Linked DNA regions of Drosophila melanogaster. The protein of the gene in region 1 interacts with the protein of each later gene in a pairwise test. Each region holds a gene or a part of one and is shown in the gene's direction. Other genes may lie near its edges.

Region 1 (8,745 bases):
ATTGGCGTTGGAGAAGGGTGAGCATTAGTCGGATCTGACGTCATTTCAGCAATGTGGTGTGATGGGTCACAATTTCCTTTCCAGAACCGTTCCATGCTGGGTGTACCTGCTGCAGAAGTACCCGGAGAACCTACTTAGTCTGCGCTACTTGTCCAGCTACGAGAACTCAACCACCCATCCATACATTATGCGCCATCGCCGCACCCACAAGCATCCGGCCCAGGACGACCTCACCTACGAGGCCCAGAACTAATAACGTGGGTTGTGGTGTCGCCCGTTTGTTTGGATGTTCTCTGGATAGCCTGGCCACTAATCTTATGTTACCGTAGTTGCATTTTAAGACCGTACTTGCAGACGCAGATGTACTGATCGATATATACCCGTATATATGGGCAAACGATATAAACTGATACATATGTACCATACGCATTATTTAGGTTTTAGCAAACGTAGTCTGTAATTTGATAGTTTTCGACAAACAAAGCAAATAAACTGAAGCAATTTAAAATAAAATAAAATGCCCCTCGTTCTATTATAGAAGTAAAGATGCTGGACAGCAGTCCCTGGTAATTTTCCACAGCCCAGTGCCGAGGGCTTCAGTTTCTCGCGGTGTACGGAGGCTAGATTCGGTGCGAATGGCAGCAAGAAGAAGAGCGGACGGGTTATGTCGACTGCGCAATCTACAGGTCGGATTTGATAGCACGATACCGCTTGAAACTGATAAGCCTGGCGGCGGGAAGCGCAATGGCTGAAAAGCTGAGAATGGCGGCAAGGGTCTTTGTGTATGGCACGTTGAAGCGCGGTGAGCCCAATCACCACTGGCTGACGAAAAAGGAGAACGGCCAAGCCCGATTCCTTGGAAGGGGGAAAACGGAAACGAAGTTTCCCCTGGTTGTCGGAACCCGCTACAACATCCCATTTCTGCTCGCCCGCCCGGGTGAGGGGAACCACATAGAAGGCGAAGTCTACGAAGTGGACGAGACCATGCTCTCCAAACTGGACATACTAGAAGACTACCCGGACTACTATGATCGCGAGCAACAAACCATATTAATGGAACAGAATGAGTATGAGGGTGTGGGGTGATGGCCAGATGTAATAACTCACTATTGCCCCTATGTCTAGAACCATTCAGTGCTGGCTGTACCTGATTCGCAACTTCCCAGACAAGATGCTGGCCAAGGAGCTGCTGATCTCGTACCACAACACGCCGGAGAGGCCGTACAATGAAAAGTCAGTACGCACTGTTTCAGCCAGAGATGATCTTTCTTACTGATTTTGCAGCTACTTGGACAGCTGCCCGGAAGACCTCGCCATGGAAAAGTGAGAAACGGAAACGTATAAAAAAGTAACGTTTATAAACGGATTTCAACGCATGGGTATTATTCGTATTGTATTACATTAATCCATTTTTCAAAATGCAAAACGAAATGAACAATAGTAGTTTGTGGTTTAGGGTAAGAGTAGCAGTGGTGGTTTATATGAATCAAAAAGCCTAGAAAATCTGCATGTGCTGGCATAGAACCTTTGGATGGCTTGAGCTCGGCAGCGGACACTGTGGTAGATAGCGGTTCAAGTGGCCAGCAACAGCACCGTTGGCGTGGGCTGACCTAGCTTGCTTCGTCGTCAAGCGACTGGAATCGGTTGGAGGCCGCCACCGGGGCAGCCGTGGACTCCTGAACACGCTGGAAACGGCTTCCGTGACGGACTTCTTCGAAGGCGGGTTCGTTTTTCTTCTTGCGCTGTTCCTCCGGACGCGCCGCACTTAAGGTTGGGAAAAACTCGGTATTGGTGATGTCGGGGGCGGCGCGTCGTGGACGCAATGCCCCCCCAGTAGGGCCGCCTCCCAGTCCACTTCCGGCCTGCTGCTGCAGAGAAGTTGATTAAACTCGATCTGGATCGTCTCGCTCTTCTTACTTACGCTGTATCGTAGCGCGGGTGAAACGTAGGTCTTGGACGAGTGCTTTTCCACCTCCACGGGCACCGGAATCTGCATTACCTCCTCGGCTGGGACAACTTTCTTCCAGGGTCCGTGGCCGACGCGCTCCTTGTTTACGTCCGCGTTGTCATACCCATTGCTGTCCTCATCGTCCTCATTGTAGTTGCCGCCGTCCGGGGCAGAGGGCACTCGAGCAGCTTGCGACTCGGAACTTTCCTGGGCAGTTCTGGAACGGGCCGAAGAGCTATAGAAAGCGAGTTTTCGCAATATGCGGGGTCAAATGGAAAGTAAATCAATGGAAGTGGCCTTTTCTCCTGCTCATGGATTAGGCGGTCGGCGTAACGTTCGAAAACTCACATGGTGCTCAGCTGGCCGATCTTTAAGCCACTGTAGTCCTTGCGCTGCTCCTCCTCGAACTCCTTCCATTCCTCCTCGACGGGCTACGGAGCGGCAAAACAATGAACTTATAAACATGCCCTAGGTGGCCAACGGGCGCTGATTTCACCAGACTGAGATTCGGACTCACCGGGGCGGACTCTGGCACCTTGGTGCCGCTATTCTCGTTTTCGCCTACTACTGCCACGCCGCCAGCGGCTACCTCAGGTTTTTTGGGCTTGACCACCTCGCGCTTGGTGCCGTCCTCCAGGTTCTTCACCATCTCGTCGGCGGTCACGAACTTAGTCTTGTTCTTGGACTTCTTCTTGTCCTTTTTCGCGAAGAAATCGTCCAGTTCGGCCATGGCTTGTAATTAATTATAAATGAATAAAATTCGCGACAGGAAATTTGGAGAACAACTCTGCACGCCTTTTGTGCCAGATGTATCGATAAGCCGGCCAGGGCTGGAGATTCCTGGAAATTCGCAGCGAGATTACAAATTGTCGATTTAATTTCACTATGCAATTTACATAATGCACGCTTTTTTTCATACCTGGAATTAACTGATGGTTTATTATAACTAATCAGTTTAAGCAACTCTGACAGCACTACCTTAGCAGGACAAGTATCCATATATCATCTGCATGATATCGATATTTTCAACTTTGGCGGCCTTTTTGAAACCATCAGTTGGGACTGGAAGACACAAACATATTATTTTTTTGCAACAAAATTGGTAACATGCATAATTTAGCGTGTGCAAAAATCACAGGAAAGACTGCACTAATTACCAATATTCGCGACATTGGGCAACAATAGATTTGCATAGGAGATTGATAACCACCTAATTAAGGCAAACAAAGTGGAAACCACCGCCGCGGTGGCTGCGAATGCAAAGCTGGACCATTGTGTAATGGAAACCAATTCGATCCGTTGCTAATTTTGCATCCATAATGATGCCAATATATCTTATTCGCTGAAAAGCAGCAAAGTCAATAAAACTCGTCCAAATGGCAAAGTTAATGTTTCCCAAAATATGCCAAAGAGTTCCTGGGCCTGGGACTTGCATCTTGTGGTACCCAGCAGTCCCGCCCATGTAGTCAAAAGTCAACTACTTGGCCCATCACTTGGACCCAGCCTAAGCCTCTTAGGCCAGACGGCCAGTTCCGCCTAGATTAGCCGAGCTAATAGATATTTATGTCTGTACCAACACCTGCCGAATACCTACCACAGTACGGCGTGCAGCCAGGCCAGTGGTTTTGCTTCGTTTCGGCATGGTTTGCAACATCCCAAAGCACTGCTAGTCCACTCCACAACGTATTCATATTGACAACCACCGGGCTGGTCGCGTTCAGTCTTCTTTCGAGCTTCGCAGCGTCCACACCGCTCCCTCCACTACTCGATTCGATCCGAACTAGTACGCTCCGAACCGATATAGTCTCGCATTAATTCGCGTGTGCGAGAGTTTGATACCAATATTGCAAGTGTTTTAATTGAGGAGAATACCAAGCAATACTCAAGGTAATTGAAACACTTAGTAGCCCCAAAATAGTTTCGGCTTGCAATCTAGCACTCCGCCGACCTCATCTCGAGCTGCGATTCCTCCTTGTGATTACCGCATTGTAAAGACAATGCTGCTTATTTTTCGGGGCTATTAGGCTGCAATTCGAGGCATTTGCCAGCCCAGCGAAGCGTTTAATTGACGATTACAAAGGTAGGCCCCTCTGCCCTACTGAGTTTGATTTCGAGATACGCTCGTGAACCCCCGTCTATGTCAGGGTCGTGTCATGACCTGTCGCAAAGTCTGATATTTCGATATTCCACATTTTCCGCTTTGAGTTCCGTGGCCCTTTGCATATATTTGAACCTCGGCTTGCGGCTTGCTGCTAATTTTATGTGTCGGGGTTTCATCTCATTTGTATCAATGCTGATCCAATACAAAAGCCATTTACATATTGAGGGGGATTTTTATTTAAATATATCGTGAGACTACGTGAGCAAAGGCCAAATGGGAAATGGAATGGAAGAATTGCCAAACATTTAAAATTTGTTCGATTTCATGGTTTAATGTCTCAGCCTCAAGTGGCTTTCTTAATGATCCTCCACACAGCCACATCCGCAGCTCTTCTCCGTATTCGAGCTTACGTTGCCTTAGAAAAGGGGTCATTGGTACAGCGCAGTCAGTCAATCAGTCACTGCGCTCCAATGGGTTTATTAACTGCAGACCGATTGCAGGCTGCACTTTGCATTGGAAAATTTTAATGGCCCCATCATCGGTAGCCAGTTCTGAGGTCGCAATCGAGTTGTAACCACACAATATTACTTAGGCTAAAAAGCAGCAATATGTAAACAAGAGGAACACACAATCGATAAACACAACCACATACAAGCTAATTAAAGATTCCAAAATGTTTCTACTTACAAGCGATATACGATATACCGGTTTTGGCTCTAATAAAAATATGACAAACGAAGGAGAGAAACAAATATCATAAGATAAAAGACTCTTTATCGTTTATCGACGTTTCAAATAGGGTCAATTTGCGTTTGCGTAATATCAAAGAGCTTAAAAACACTCTTGCCAATTGTGGGGAGGGTAAGTTTAAAATGGTATAAAAACATTTCGGATTTGAATTTATCGATTTCGACGTAATTTTTGCAAGTCGTTCCGCTACATCAATATGCTTATGAACAAAATACATAGATGGTAAAATCTCAAACAAATTTCTTGAATTCCATTATCTTCGTGATGCTCCGTTGTTAAAACTATGCACACATTGTTCTTTCATTAGAAATCACAAATATGTTATGTTATTTTAGTTGTCTATCAGTATTTTGCATTAGTTACTGTTTTCTGACTCGTCTCTTTCTCGCTCGTCCGCCCCAATTGGGATCAAGTTTGTGGCCTAAGTCTTTCGTTTACAAAATGAAGCTCCGTTGTTTTAGGTTCAGTTTTAATAAATACGTTTGTCTGTAATGCTCATAACTTCGGGTTTGACAACTTGGGTCGACCGAAATTTGTCTCAATGTGTGTATTTCGAGGCTTGCATAAGTGCAAGCACTCTGAAGTTGTTTCTCGGGCTGTGGCTCTCGTTGGTTTCACACATTCGGCGGACGCGTTTTAATTGGCCATAAAGCCGAAAACTGGGGCTCAGTAACAAGCCCCTAAAGGCAGGTGCCGCGAGGCGAGATGAAGGAGAACCGCAGTGATCTAAGTGAAGTGATCCCAGAAACAGATCCAACCACATAGATTTCAGCTTGTAGTTCAAGGTGCAGTGGGGCTGCTGCGTCATGCTTCCTGCGATTTCCATCTTTTCCAGCTTTGCTCTGCTGGAGGAGGTAAACACTCGTTGCCGGAGATACAGTATTGGACATGCATACGCTTGGGCGGGGTGTGACCACAATCGAGCTGCAATAAATAGGTAAACAAGTACGTCCGCTCGGTCTTGCGTGAAATGTCATGACATGCCCAAAGTGCAAGGCACAGGCACAATCCACAATTCGAGATTGCCGAGCAGATGTGGCCAACTGTAACGCGGCTGCAATCCAACCCAGCCGCATGCAGATTGAGAAACAAATACTTGCAACAATCCCCGTCGGAGGGGGAGATATAAAGACAACCTGGCACGCTAGACGGGTTCGATGCCAGCTACCCCTGGTAATTGCATAAGCCAGCAAAGAAATGCGAATCCACAGGCGCAATCGAAAATCCAAATAGAAACCGAAAGTCCACTAGAAACCCGTTTGCGGCAGGTTCAGCTCACTGGTTGCTGCTGTGTGTTGGCTGCTTCCAAGTCGAACACCAGATGTGGTAAGAGGGGCACGCGTGGCCAGAATTAGCCCCAGTTTTTCCAGCACCACTTGCGCCATTCGCTTGCCAATCACTAGTTTTTCCTTTGACTGGTTTTCGCATTCCCGGAATGCTTCTTGCGTCACTCCATTTCCATTCCCATTCCCAGAAGGTGTGCTAATACACCTCTTTCTTGCAGAAAGATGACGGTGGATCTATCGCCAGTGCAGGAATACTATAAGGATAAGACGATATTCATCACTGGAGCGTCTGGGTTCATGGGCAAGGTTCTGCTGGAGAAGTTGCTCTACTCCTGCCACTCCCTCAAGGAGGTGATCATCATCTGCCGCCCGAAGCGCGGCAAGGCACCCGAGACGCGTCTCGAGGAGATGTTCAAGCTGCCCATCTTCCAGCGCATCAAGGACGAGCGCCCGGAGATGCTCAAGAGGGTTACCATCTACCAGGGCGACGTCACCTTCGACCGTAAGTGTAGCGCTTAAGTTCCGCACTTTAATCTCGATTGATTTGCATTTCCTGCCCTTCATTTGTAGAGCTCGGGCTCAGCGGGGAGAGCTTGAAGCACGTGACCGAGAACACTAACATTGTTTTCCACATGGCGGCCACCCTTAAGCTGGAGGGCAACCTTCGGGACGCCATCGATATGAACTTGCTAGGCACCCGGCGAGCGCTCAACGTGGCCAAGGAAATGAAGCAGCTGGAGGCCTTCATCCACTTGTCCACGGCTTTTTGCAACTGCGACCAGGATGTGATGTATGAGAAGGTGTACGAGTTTCCACACAAGCCGGAGGATCTTATGCGCCTGGCCGAGTGGATGGACGTGAAGACCCTGGACGCCATTACGCCGGATTTGCTAAAGCCGCACCCCAACACATACACCTACTCAAAGCGTCTGGCGGAGCTTCTGGTGCGCGACCACTACGAGTCCATGCCCGTCATCATCGCACGTCCCAGCATCGGTAAGTGACCTTTTAAGTACGGATGCCACCTCGCTGTTGCCTATCCGCGTCGCTTTGGCCTGCGGCGAATCGATTTATCAGAGTCGTTAATTCTCTATGTCTCTGGACGGGATTGCTTGCTTGCTTGGTAGCCAGCTGCGCTGGAAGCGAAATTGAGTCTGCAATTGCCAGTCGCCAGTTCCCCTCTAACTAATACCTAATAATGCGCCTCCGCTTCTGCCGCCTTAAGTCTATGTCTATGTCTGTGTCTGTGTCTATGTTGCCCTGGCTTGCTTATTATTTATATCTTTTTCGGCCACCTGGCGTCTTTGTTGGACGTCTCTGCCTGGAATGTACGATCTGTCTGCGCTGGCAGTCAATTAAAGTTTTCTATTAGCAGTTTTTGGCCAACCTGAGAGGGCGTTATTCATGGGAGGTGGAGAAACTATTGGGCAGAAACCAGTCCGACCATATTGATGCAAATCTCCAAAATCAAACACTAAGCCGAGTGGTAATTTGATATGAAAGTATACTTTAATCGAATCTTTTATTTTTATACTGCCCAGATAAGGTTAGGAAAATGTTTGTGAATAGGTATTTCCGATGGCAGCTCCCCTCAAACTTATTTAATGATAGGCTAGCTGAATGCTGAAATCGATAGGAGTGGATGAATATTTCATTTGTAACCGGGAGGGTTCAAGGCAAGGGTGACCTGCTTAGCTGGGCAAATAGCCCATGGATACACCCAATATGGACGGGTTACGTCCTCGTTTGCTAACTAGCGAGCAAAGTTCGGCAGAGTTCGCCGATTTTAGCAGATCTTCAGAGACATTAGCAGATGATAATGAATGTACTTGTTGGGTATGGGGTTGCTTTGGTGCTAGTCTTAAGCCGCTTCTTGCCACCTACCGCTAATTCGTCAAGTGTTTACGCTTTCCGTGTGTTTTATGACATCGCCACTGGTTGATCTCATGTCCTCCTATCCGGCGCGGGCTCCCCGCTTGACTCTTCTGCTGCCGCGCTTCTTAATACGTACACCGCACATGAACCACAGCAGCAGCAATACAGGTCTGAGCAACCACAAACTGCCAACAGACACCACCACAATCACAGCGCTTGAAAAGAAAGAGCCCGATTACATGACATGGTGTACAGCATTGCTTAAAACAATAAACTACCTCAACCACTGCACACAAATGCCGTCGTCATTGACCAAAAAGTTCAATGAGCATGCAATGAAAACAAAGAAGACAGAAACGCCCCGCTTTACCCTTCCTCTGCCTCCGCCTCCGCCTCCGCCCTCGCATCCGCATCCGCATCAGCCTGATCCCAAGAACGTCTGGGAGGAGGAGTCCCAATTTGAACTCATCTCCCGCACGCCCAGTGTCGCCGTCGGCGTACGAGCCCGTCCCGGGATGGGTGGACAACCTTAACGGACCCACCGGGCTGATGGTGGGCGCCGGCAAAGGTGTCATCCGATCGATGCTGATTGACACGCGCCACCTGTCCGAGGTTATTCCGGTGGACTACGCCATCAACGGTCTGTGCGTGATCCCCTACCAGTTTGCCAAGATGACGGAGCGGCCGAAGGACGTGCCGGTATACAATATCACGTGCGCTGACCACCGGAAGATGCAGTGGGGCGAAGTAATCGAAATGAGTAAGGAAATAGGGTACCGATACCC
Region 2 (5,651 bases), on another chromosome or scaffold:
TCCAATTTCAACTCGGAACAGTTGACTCGCTTGCTGGCCAACTGCAAGATCAAGCCAATCCACAATCAGGTGCGTCAATTGTGGTTATGCCTTGGGTTTCATATTCCTAATAGACCATTTTCCAGATCGAATGTCATCCCGCGTTGAACCAGAAGAAATTGATTGCTCTGTGCAAGAAGAATGACATTGTAGTGACCGCCTACTGTCCCCTGGGCAGACCCAATCCAGCAGAAAAGACGCCCAACTACATCTATGATGCCAAGGTGCAGGCAATTGGAGACAAGTACAAGAAGTCCACCGCCCAAGTGGTGCTCCGATATCTGGTAGGGATTACGAACTAGGTTTAATGAGAACAAAAACTCTTTATTAACATAATGTTTATCGAAATAGATTGAGATTGGAACCATCCCATTGCCAAAGTCCTCAAATCCCAAGCGCATCGAGGAGAACTTCCAGATCTTCGACTTCCAGCTGGATGCTGAGGATCATGCCATTCTGGATTCCTACAACACCGGAGAACGTCTGATTCCCATGACCCACGCCATCAAAAGCAAGAACTATCCATTTAACATCGAGTTTTGAGCTGGAAAGCAGGAGCAATGTTTGATATTAATTAAAGTGGTTGTTAAATCTGATATTTTGTGTACATATACATATGTTTTTTAAAAATAAACACCAATAATAATTATTTTTGAGATCTTTTTTCATGTTGAAATATTTATGTTTATTTTGGAGATTTTTATATAACAAGCACACTTATTTTTTTTTTTTTACATAATATCGCATTAGTTTTACTTTTAAGCATTTTGATAGTACGTAATTCTTCTATTTTAGTCTTATCACTTGAACTGTTTCTTATTTGCAGTCAAGGGTGTGGCAAATATTTTAAAGGGGCATAAAATATAATAAACATTTGAAGTCATCTATGAAAACAATACGAATTCATTTTGTGATTATATACATATAATCTTAATTAAACAATACCCTTTTTTGGACACCACTGCTGAACATTTAATGATTTGAGAGAGAGCTTTTGCTCGATCATTTAGTTTTTAGTGTGGGCTTGGCATGGAAAATTCCACTTAATCAAAATCATTTGGTCTAGTACAATTTCGCCAACACTTGTCTGAATTCAATTATTCACAACTGCAAGGCAGATTGCAAAAATGAAAAGCTATAAAAGGGAAGAGAATATAAACAAACCCACATGTAATAGGTAAATAAACAAAACTAGCGATAAAGTTAACCGAATCAGCTTTGCGCGCCACTCAACTATCAAGCTATCGATAAGTGTTTTTCAAAAGTGTTCCCACATATTTTTAAATGGGATTTTACACATGATTTGGTTTGGATCATTTATAAAAAATATGTGTTTAATTTATCCTTATTAAAACATTAAAATAATGCATTTAATATATTGGTTAGCACACTTAGAACCTACGCTCCTTGCGTCTCTATAAACTATTTCCAAGTTTCTCTGCCAGCTTGGCCGTGTTTTATCTGCAAATGCAAAAGGTCTTTTGAAGGTTCTATGGGCCCATTCGAAAACCTTATAACAGAGGTGAAGCGAGCAACCCAAGCATTCAGTGTTCAACTTTGTAACCGCGAAGATGACCGGGAAAGTGGAGTACTACTTCAAGCACAACGACGGAACCCATATCCAGGGAATCGGACTGGGCACCTTCGCGGTATGACATTGACTGGTTGATCATAGCATATCCGATACGGATCAGGAATGTCGCCTATCAGTAGCCGGGTTAACGTCATTTGAAGAACCGCTAACGTTATTGATGACTTGTGATTTCAGTCGACGGAAGGCGATTGCGAACGGGCAGTTCTCCACGCGATTGATGTGGGCTACCGGCACATAGACACCGCCTACTTCTACGGAAATGAGGCCGAAGTGGGTGCGGCGGTTCGGAAGAAGATTGCCGAAGGCGTCATCAAGCGGGAGGACATATTCATCACCACCAAGGTCAGTTGGCAAGTTCTTATAGCAGGCATATCATAAACTAATCCTTAAGTGGCCACATATTTCCGCAGCTCTGGTGCAATTTCCATGAACCGGAAAGGGTGGAGTATGCCTGCCGAAAGACCTTGAAGAATATTGGCCTGGATTATGTTGACCTCTATCTGATTCACTGGCCTTTCTCCTATAAATATCGCGGTGATAACGAACTGATTCCCAAAGATGCCAATGGAGAGGTGGAACTTGTGTGAGTAAAATGAATAATATATGAAATATTTCGAATCGATTGGCACTTACAAGTGATTGTGAAATGCGCCTTCTATTATCAGTAATCTTACTATGCCGTTTACTTGCTTCAAACTACAGAGACATTGATTACCTGGACACTTGGGGCGCCATGGAGAAGTTGGTTGACCTGGGCCTGACCAAGAGCATCGGAGTGTCCAATTTCAACGAGGAGCAACTGACGCGCCTGTTGGCCAACTGCAAGATCAAGCCAATCCACAATCAAGTAACTTAGTCACAGGATGTTCCCTCCAGTTTCTCAACTCATATTGTTCTTTCTGCAGATTGAGGTACACCCCGCGTTGGATCAGAAGAAACTGATTGCCCTGTGCAAGAAGAATGGAATCCTGGTGACCGCCTTCAGTCCACTGGGCAGGCACAATGCCGAGTTGAGGACGCCCACCTTTATGTACGATGGCAAGGTTCAGGCCATCGCAGACAAGTACAATAAGTCCATTGCCCAAGTGGTGATCCGATATGTGGTAAGGATTTTCGATTTAGGCCTTATGTTGAACCGGATTTCTCATGATGAATTCTAATTTCAGATTGAGCTGGGAACCATCCCGCTGCCCAAGTCCTCCAATCCCAAGCGCATTGAGGAGAACTTCAATGTCTTCGATTTCAAGCTGGATGCTGAAGATCATGCCATCTTGGACTCGTATCACAATGGAGAACGTGTTGCCCATGCCCGACAAGCCATCAAGAGTAAATACTATCCCTTCAACGTGTATAGTGCTTGTTTTTGATACAACAAATATATTTAAGTTATTATGATTAATAAATAAATAGTAACCCTTGTAAGGGAATGCCCAAAAGCAAGAAGATTTCTAACGTCATTTACAATCGGTAAGTATTTTTCGTAAGTGTTTTGTATATGTCTTTTTTGGCCTTATCATCACAAGTACTTCCCATTGATATTCACATGGATTGGTTAATAAATCAAACAGCGCGGCACTTTTTTGTTCCAGTCATTCAGTTTTTTCTTAGAGAATGTATATATTTCTTAATGCAAAAATTTAAAAACTGATATACTTTTACAACAAAAGTGAAAACTTTTATTTTTGATTGTATTTAAATCGAAGTTGTACCCGTATCATAATGCACAATAGAACAGATAATAGAAAATAGGGTAGCGGATCCATTATGAAAGTCAAGTTCTCGATAAGAAAAATATAAGAAGTCGATTGTTTTACCCAGCTAGCTGTGAAAATAGGAAATAATATGTTTGTATTAAAATCTACCAATGTAAATAACATTAAAAGCTTTTTCTCTGCTGCATTTAAAATAAAATTGAAATGATCAATGTCATGAATAGAAAAATGTTACAGCGAATATTTTAAATTTCAATCTCGCGGTATTTTGTAACGCATTACAGTATATTTGCTGGCTGTAAGAAATATCGATAGAGCGGTTGCCGAACAATATCGATAAGTATTTATTTACTCTTCCAAATATTGTGTGATATTTTTATGTGCGCACATCCATAACAAATATCCTTGCAAATCGCCGGGAACACGACGAATTGCAGGTAAACAAGATGCCAGCAGTACGTGGACATTACAGCAGCGAAGATTACGTGGAGCAGCAACAGCAGGAGGAGTAAGTGCACACAGCGGAAGCAAGTAAATCCGTCCAATTGCCGAAAACCAGAGCGTAGCCAGCCGGAAAAGTAGAGCAGACTCTCCCAGAAATCGATGCCCCACTGCCACACAATGGTCTATATGCGAATTGTGCTAACAACCTTGGTGACCATTACGTGTCTGCTGGGGGACAACTTTGTGGAGCTGACCCAGCATCCATTGCTGAAGGCCCTGGCCGACAATGCCACCCATGCGGCCATTGGAGCACTCACGGGAATCACGTTCGCCACACAATTCTACGAGCGCACCTCGCAGTTGTTCGGCTGGATATTGATTTTCACCTGCTTCGTTGTGTCATCGTTCATTGACTTGGACCACTTTGTGGAGGCTCGTTCCCTTTATTTGGAGGTGAGTTGCAGTAACCAGACGAAAAACGAACTAACCAAGTTCCCACAACTCGCACGCAGGATGCCACCAATCTGTCGAAGAGGCCCTTCCTCCACTGCTCCAGCATTATAGTGGTTATGCTGCTGTTCTACATGTGCACCGCCTGTTTGAACTATTTCCGGACCAGCCTAATGCTGGGATCCCTACTCTGTGCCTTCATCACACACCACACCAGGGACGCCGTGCGGCGGGGCTACTGGCTGTGCCCGCTAGGTCACACGGACAGGATGCCCCAGCTAGCCTACATATTGACCACCATCCTGACGCCCCATCTGCTGGGCTGCCTGCACAACGTGTGCCGCAGCGCAACCGTGCTTAACTTCCTGGGGCAGTACGTCAAGCTAAGCGAGGGCCAATACCGCAGCGGCTCCACTGCCAACTATCGCTACATGCAGGTCTAGGCTATATGTAGGAACACTTTGTGATAATATTGCAAAACATCATCAAATGGTAAATGCAAATTGCTTTTCAAGCTTCAAGCGCTTTAAGATTAGAGATCGCCTAGAAACCCAAATACTTCCTCGCAACAGGACACAATTTTACACGGATCTACTACTAGAAGTACCTTTTTGAGGGAACTATGCTTCCCGTCCAATTGATTTTTCTTTGTTAAGTAGCGTGTAGGTTTTTACTAGCATCTAACTAGAATACAGATAATATCCGGATATGTGATATGTAGTCCTTAGACAAACTAGAGTAACGAGCATAGCGCACAACGATATCTAATCGATTTTCAACTTCAACTCTGACTCTTGTAACTAGTAGGCCATACGAATTTTAAGCTAATCGAATAATAAAATCAATCTAATTGCCTTACAACATCAGCCTTGCAATCACAATTAATCCCATTGGCTTACTTGGCCCACCTTTATTTTATTCGCTGTTTATTTGTGGGCCAAATTAGTTGCCGTTTACAAATTGGCCCTAATGGCTGGCATGGCTGCGAAGGAATCCCGTCATAAATCGACTTTTCTGCTTATTTTACCGATTCGTTTGGGCTATTTTTAAACGAATTTAATTTTAAATGTTCGCCATTATAAATAAATCACAATTTCGATCGAAAAAGTTCGCAAGGAACCAATAAAAAACATTGGTTTTTCGAAATTTTCCTACGCTTTTCGGCGGAAAATCGCTGTGTTTGCGGGTCAATAATTGGGTAATTAAAGTTACACGTGCGATCAGACAGTGAAAATATTCTAGGGTATTGTCGGTACCAGAATTTCCCACGCATGCCCATTAACAGCGGCACGAACAACAATAACAATAACAGCGGCTGAATCCGTTGGCAACACCCACGACCCAACATTTGTTTGACATACACTGAAAGAAAAAACTGATTTATTGCGAAATAATGATCTAAGGCGTACATG
Region 3 (6,857 bases), on another chromosome or scaffold:
TCATAGTCGTTCCCGGTCGGGGCGGCATGATGCAAATAGCTTTCTCAGCCTCACGCTTGAATTGACTGTCATCCGGGCCCTTGTTGCTAATTGAGCTGGTGCTGCTCTCATCGAATTCCTGGGAACCTTCATAATTTTGTCCCACCTCTAAGTTCTCCGGATCCATATGAAATATATTGTTAAAGTGGATTTAAATGAGAAAGTGGCGTTCCTTTCAAAGCAGTGTATTTGTTGATTGTTACAAAGCCCGAGCATTAATTACTGCTGTTTAGTCAAATTAAACCAAAAAATTCGATTTTATAAAATTAATGTGAATATGGCGGTCTCAGCAATATTTAATATTTTTATTAAATTATATGTAAACTATTTTATTTCCAAAAGGATACATTGACTTCAGTAAGGTGTTTGCATCGCAGTGAATGAGGCATTTGCGACCATATAAAGCTCACTTTATACTTTCTTGATCAGTATGAACAACCGAGTCGAAATAGCCATATGAACAATCGAATGTAAAATTTGGTCGTTTAATTTGGTATACATTTTTTACTACATTTTTTTAATTTTGAACAATCTTTAATTTCAATTTCAAGCTTCCGTTGTTGTTTATTCATTTTTTATTATTTAGCGCACTTTTATGAGAATTATTTTTTTTGCCGTAAAAGGTTTTACTAAATTCGATAAAGGTAAAAAGAAGCATTTCCGACTCTATAAAATATAATATTCTTGAACAGGCCAACAAGCCGCCCCAAACTACGACGCTAACACGCAAGACTTCACGAGACTTTCACTGTCACAATTACAAAGTAATTTGATTGTAATGCGAATTTCTATAGATATACCATTTTGCAACATCTCGCTCGCAGTAATGCGAATTTCTATAGATATACCATTTTGCAACATCTCGCTCGCAAAGTCGAGGAACCCTCTGACTTTTGTCTGTTTTTCGTCCCTTATAACACCAACAAACCGCCCAAAACTCCCACGCTTTTGAAAAATTTTTTAAATAGTTTATTTTGTTTTTTAAATTTCCTTCGATCTGCTAAAAGAATGTTGGAATTTCTCATTCGCACTTAGTATACGACTTGAGTAACAGGACTTTTAAAGTAGGGGAACTCGATCTTGTTTTGATTACAAGAAATATTAAAAAACATTTAACATTCTACATTCTCTAAATATCGTTTTTATGATGACAATGCTAAATAATGGGTTCCGATAATATCGATAAGTACCGAATTCTCGAAATTCGGTCACTCTTTCCGGAACGGAATCCACAAAGATCATTTTGCCTCGTCTCAGTTCAGCCTTTTTAGATTTTCCATAGCCAGATCTAGATTATCTAGAAACGGAACAGCCAGAACTAGATTATGTCTAGCTCAAATTATTTGGTAAAGAAATCAAATAAATCAAATAGTTAATTTAGTGTAGAATTAAACATGCCAAAAATTACAATCCTGCCACAGAAACCTTTATTTAAAGTTAACTACAAGTTCAAAGAATATTAACGGCCTGTGAAAAGTATTCCCCTCGCAGTCAATTTATGCTTTTGCATTTCATTTGGCTGAGGGTATACGGGTATAGTCGCGACGATCCATATTATTTTTCTGTTTCCTTGGTACCTTCTATGCAGGTTATCAAATCACAAAGATTTTACGCACAATATTATTTAATCTGTAATCCCTATCACAGTCCTTGCGGGCTTCAAATAACCTAAGTCGAGCTTTAAAAATGCTAAAACGGCAACACTCGTGCCAACATTCTGCTTAGTTGCTGCCAACCCAATCTAACATGTTCGAAGTTGCGAGACCGTTTTGTACAAAAATATATTTAAGCGACTGGCAAAACGCGCTCTCTTTGTTGCTGAACGATTTCACTCGCGTCGTCGTTTCCCAAGAAATCCGAAAGATATGGCTAGTTGACTAAGAAGTAATTCGATATTAATATATTTTTTTGGAAGCGCATATAGTTTTATTGGGCTAGATCGCATTTTCTGCATGGTGAAGTCCGTTACGATATGTTGTCGGATATATTTTATGTGCGGTGAGATCCAACGCGGTGTTTGTGTGTGTCTTTTGTTGGCGTTGCTGTTGTTTGTAGCCATCGCCATAGCCATCGGCATCGCAGCCCGCGGTATCGAAGTTTCAGTATCAAAAGCATCGGCAGCCAGCCCAAGCTGAAACTAGTCGATTGTTCAATTCCCAAAAGCGCGGGCCCTTTACACTTGCGTTCGTTCTCCTTCGCGAGTGTGTATTTGTGGCCGTGCACAAGTGCATTTGTGTGTGTGCACTCGGGATTCCTCTTCCATTCCAATCGCCGCTCGACCCCCCCCCCCCCCTTCCACACCATACCTCGCAGGTGAGTATCGCCACAGCCGCGAAAGCATTTTCCAGCTGCTCCCCACCCTCGCCTTGCGATTCGGTGATATTAGTCATCACCGCCATTGCCTGTTTGTTCATGGTTTAATTAAAAAAGTGGCGGTAGTCCACTGTTTCTTGCTCTGCTTCCCGCCACGCCCATTCGCAGCGGCAGCGTCAGTAGGCGATGCCGAAGAGAGTCGCCGTGAAGCAACAGCCAACTAAAAGAGCAAAAGAGCTCACACGTGTCGGTGGCTAAGAGAGAGCGCACAGGGGCGTGGGTGCCCTTCGTGAGAGGGATGAATTATTATTCCAAAGGATTGCCCAGACTTGTTTTCATAGATTCTCTGGTAACCTATTCGTACTTTAATGAATTAAATATTGTTTATTGGATTAATCTGGTTCTATGAAGTGTAAAAAACAATTGACCCTTTCGGTCTACAACTGTAATTCATGAATCACTTATTCAATACAATTTTATATTAAGTAAATTTTGTTGATAACAATGGAAATTATATTGTTGACCATTGTTTCCCAATCGAGATAAAAAAATTCATTATTTGAGGAATGCGGGTATTAGCAGTAGGTACTTCTATGCTACTTCGAATACATAGAATATTTCTTCTTTTTAGTGGTACAACTTCTTCCGTATGAGAAGTATTTTAGCAGCAGCTTAGGTATAGCAGCTAATTCCTTATCCTGAGAACTGACTTTAAATAGTATTAAATAGCCGAACGCATTTCGCTGTCTTCATTGTCTACTGTGTACCTTTGTTGGGTAAGGAGTGCAGTGGTGTGCCGCCTATGTCAGTCAATCAAAAAGTTTCACCTGTCCGCCGAATGCGGAAACGTCGAGAAATGTAGTTGCATTCGCATTTTTTCAGGTTTTTAGGGTCAGCCAACGAGTGCGCTAAATACTTCGATCAGAAATTTATGTATGTGTGTATGTGTGTATGTATGTATGTATGTATGCATATGTATGTATCACCTGGAGAATGTGGTGCGGCATCAATTACCGCTGGCCGGTGGTCAGAAAAGCGAACCTGGAGCTACGTAGAGTCAAGGGCTTTCGCAAATAGATTGCAACAATGCAGTGCTAAAGTGCTAATTGATCGCTTTGCACCTTGGCCCTCGCGTATAGTTATTTGGCTGGCGCGACTGGCTTAGACTCAGTAAACACATTATCTGCTTAGATTGCTCAGAAAACACATCAAATCCAAATATTCATTCGCGTTTACACGGCAAATCTCAAGATTGTGTCTCATTGCCGGGCTTCGATTTTCTCAGAAGAGAGGAGCTATACAATCGGCTGGCTGTATCAGTCACACCCACAAGCAATCTGAAATTATTCGGGCCAACATAAAAATTCGGCCAAAGTCCATGAGATCTTGGTTATAGAGATCGCATGTATTAGTCCTCTGGTTTATATGTACATAGGTGCTCGCTAATATGTGTTTTGGCAGCGCATGCTTAATAAGCACTTTTGGGCTCTGCTATTATGAGGAAAGTTTTTTAACCGGTTTGTCCTATGGAGAAAGAAAAGAACAATGACATCGTACGGGTTCTCTGGCCCCTGAGACTCTCGTCTGAGACTGAGATGCTTGGCCACGATCTTCGTACCATTCGGGGTTAACACATCGTGGGCATAATCATTCGATGGACAGTGACAGCATCGTCAGAGTCAAGAGAACTAGCCTCACCACCTGTTGCGGTGCTATAAAGACAAATGTGCCGTTATCGGCGGTGAGATGGACAGATCCAATTCATGATGGTAATGCGAATCCAGCTATCGTTCGGTTAGGAGGCAAGTCTATGATAAAAGTTTATTAAATGCTTTTGGCATACTTAGGCTCCAGAGCCCTTAAGTAACAAAAGATTTGATATAGCGGTCGATATAACCTATATCTTGAAATATATAATGATCATAATACGCCAATATAAGGATTATAATTCCAAAGGGAAAAGTTGACTAGCGACTGTGATGTCTGGCAATGCAGCCAGTATTTAATTTTAAAAGTATTATTTTTACAGTTATTAGTTTATACAGCCTTTGCCTAATAATGATATCTTATGAATTATATTTAAATACCAAATGAGAACTGTATGGTCGAGTTCCTTGCCTGTTAGTCAGCTAGTAGATGTTTAAGCGAGAATCTTTAATATTATTTTGGCATATCGATAGAAGTGTTACATACATACTTCCCAACGAATCTACTAGGCTATACTTTACGAGTAATGGTGCTCTAAGAATTTACCTCAAAATGGTAAATCGCCTTTATCCTGCATGGTTAAACAAAATATTGTAGAAGAGATGCAATGCATACGAATTTTCGAAATAAAAGAGCACTTTGATATCTTTTGGTAAATGTAACTATATATGTTATTTAAAAAGAAGTAAAAAGCTATAAGTACCATGTACTCACCTTTCCAGCAAATAACATCATTAATATTACAATATTACCGATAGATACCCATTGACCGTCTGCAAGGGTACACAAACTTCGGCTAGTCGAAGCCGGCTTTCTTTCCCGTTTCTTTTTTCGACATTGACGGGACCTACTCGTATACATTTCGCACATTAATTTCATTTACCCAAAGATTCGGACAGTTTTTCTCTGTCGCTTGCTGTTGTCTCTCTCTCATTTTCCCCAGCCTTTCTTTGTGCGTTTTTTGTTTTTTGTTTTTTCTTTCATTGTTTTTGTCGGGTTTTACGTATTTTTGGAAAACTTACCACGCCAGTGTTATGTAAGTCGACCCCTCGATCTCAGCGGCTTCTCCTCAATTTAGAATGCCCGAGGCAGAGTCGCAATAAAACAATAAACAAAACCTCCATTCCTGACACCCGTAACCTATGCTTTGGGAACTATGCATGTGCATAATTACACATCGATGTATTTAAATGCCATTAATGCAGTGCGGCCCTGCGATGGAAACTTTCATCGTGTGTTTCAGCAGCTCGGTCGGTTTTCCGTGGGGTCTGACCTTCCCGAGCAGCCAAACAAATTACAAGTGCACACACATTAATCGGCCAGCCGACCTGAGGTCGTCAGGTGGGAGCGGTCCGCGCGATTCACTTGCGCTTTCGTTTCAATATATCCGACCACGCTTCTGGCGATCCAAGCCAGTGATCGAGGGCCGCCGCCTTTATTTGCTTGCGAGGAGATCGGAATCCCAAGTGTCTTGTGTGGCCTGACTCGATATTTTCAAGACGAGCACTCACACAATTCAAAAAGCATCGCCGCGATTTTCGAAATTTCGTCATTTAAATAAATTAATATTTATTTTTTAACAACGAGGACGGAAGATAATAACACCTTCGCAAATACAATATTACGATATACAAAACAAACAGAAAACAAAACAACAAAACCCAGGTATCTAAGGTATCTAAGAAAATACTTATAAAATTCGCAAAACGAAACAGATATCGCAATCTATCTCCGCACAATATCACAATATGGAAGGACTTTAACCCCCAATTAATTAATGCCGATAGCACTGTTTCTGGCTCCAGCCAACCGCTTATAAGGCAGCTAACTTATAGTTACGATTTTCTTCATTTCTCCCTTTAACCCCATATTTTTGATTAGGTTTTATATATAGCTGGTAAATTTAACGAGAACAGAAAAAAATAATAAGGGAGCTAATCGCCTATCAGATAGAAATAAGCAAGACAAATGATAATATAAAACGATTTCAAATACATTCACAAAATTCTTGATGATTCAGTTTTGAAAAGTTTTTGGCATACCGAAGAAATCCCTTCGACGTTCTAAATATATAAATACAAATATAGTCCACCCTTAACCTACGAAAAATTGCTAAACGAATGTTACGCAGAAAGTAATTGTCAAAAAAAAAAGATTTTTCATTTGACAATGAAAGTATATTATACAAAATTTACCCTTTCTAAAGATTATTTGTTTAATTAAATAATGTCGACTGGTAAAATCTTCACAGAAGAATCAGATTTTATGTTCAGCGTGTGAACGTCAGCAGTTATTTTATTTGTATATATTTTATATATTTAATTATTTTTAAAAAATACAATACCTTTTGTAGAGCATCAGTACACTTCAATTTTGAAACCATATGCGCTACAGTAGAAAAATTTGCAACGAGTCAATGCGTGTCTTAAAGAAGTATAAAAAATGTATTGTTGATTAAAAATCTTTTGACCAAAACTATTGAAAAAATAGAATTTCGAAATGCTATATGTGAAGGATATTTATCTATCTAGTTCCTTTGAAATTTTTAATTTTTACTAAGTGGAATGACTAAAGTTTCTACATGAAACTGCTTGCTCAGCACATAAAAATACGTTTTGTTTCGGAGAGGCAAAAATGTAGTAAAAAAAATGTAGTACAACTTTCCAAATATTATTGTGGGAAGTATTGCCCTCCCCAGCTTATTAATCAGTTCAAATTAATTAAATTTGTCTTTAAACATTCACCGTTCTTTCATCAAAATTATGGTGAAAGAGTCAACAAAATTTTATTTTTTTCTT

The links. The genes of interacting proteins can lie anywhere in the genome.
Region 2: the proteins of CG30427 (region 1) and CG12766 interact in a two-hybrid assay, tested with the Drosophila melanogaster proteins (one large-scale study listed by BioGRID).
Region 3: the proteins of CG30427 (region 1) and CG31523 interact in a two-hybrid assay, tested with the Drosophila melanogaster proteins (one large-scale study listed by BioGRID).

What each region holds. Positions count from the first base shown.
Region 1 is NT_033778.4:24,932,394-24,941,138, reverse strand, and holds the start of CG30427 (uncharacterized protein), read left to right. Parts: upstream 1-3,661; 5' UTR 3,662-3,835; intron 3,836-4,803; exon of another isoform or gene 4,804-4,910; intron 4,911-6,303; 5' UTR 6,304-6,307; coding exon 6,308-6,587; intron 6,588-6,655; coding exon 6,656-7,081; intron 7,082-8,444; coding exon of another isoform or gene 8,445-8,745. Other genes in the region: Tina-1 (troponin C-akin-1), read left to right, coding at 1-17, 85-253; CG2811 (uncharacterized protein), read left to right, coding at 745-1,067, 1,126-1,233, 1,285-1,327; CG3760 (uncharacterized protein), read right to left, coding at 1,611-1,868, 1,922-2,183, 2,297-2,379, 2,466-2,678.
Region 2 is NT_037436.4:3,936,044-3,941,694, reverse strand, and holds CG12766 (uncharacterized protein), read left to right. Parts: upstream 1-1,569; 5' UTR 1,570-1,610; coding exon 1,611-1,688; intron 1,689-1,807; coding exon 1,808-1,975; intron 1,976-2,043; coding exon 2,044-2,216; intron 2,217-2,335; coding exon 2,336-2,480; intron 2,481-2,538; coding exon 2,539-2,736; intron 2,737-2,799; coding exon 2,800-3,000; 3' UTR 3,001-3,071; downstream 3,072-5,651. Other genes in the region: CG10863 (uncharacterized protein), read left to right, coding at 1-69, 126-323, 391-582; CG10866 (uncharacterized protein), read left to right, coding at 3,949-4,242, 4,302-4,682.
Region 3 is NT_033777.3:4,474,128-4,480,984, reverse strand, and holds the start of CG31523 (uncharacterized protein), read left to right. Parts: upstream 1-1,777; 5' UTR 1,778-1,923; exon of another isoform or gene 1,924-2,352; intron 2,353-5,558; exon of another isoform or gene 5,559-5,733; intron 5,734-6,857. Other genes in the region: sac (sterile affecting ciliogenesis), read right to left, coding at 1-166.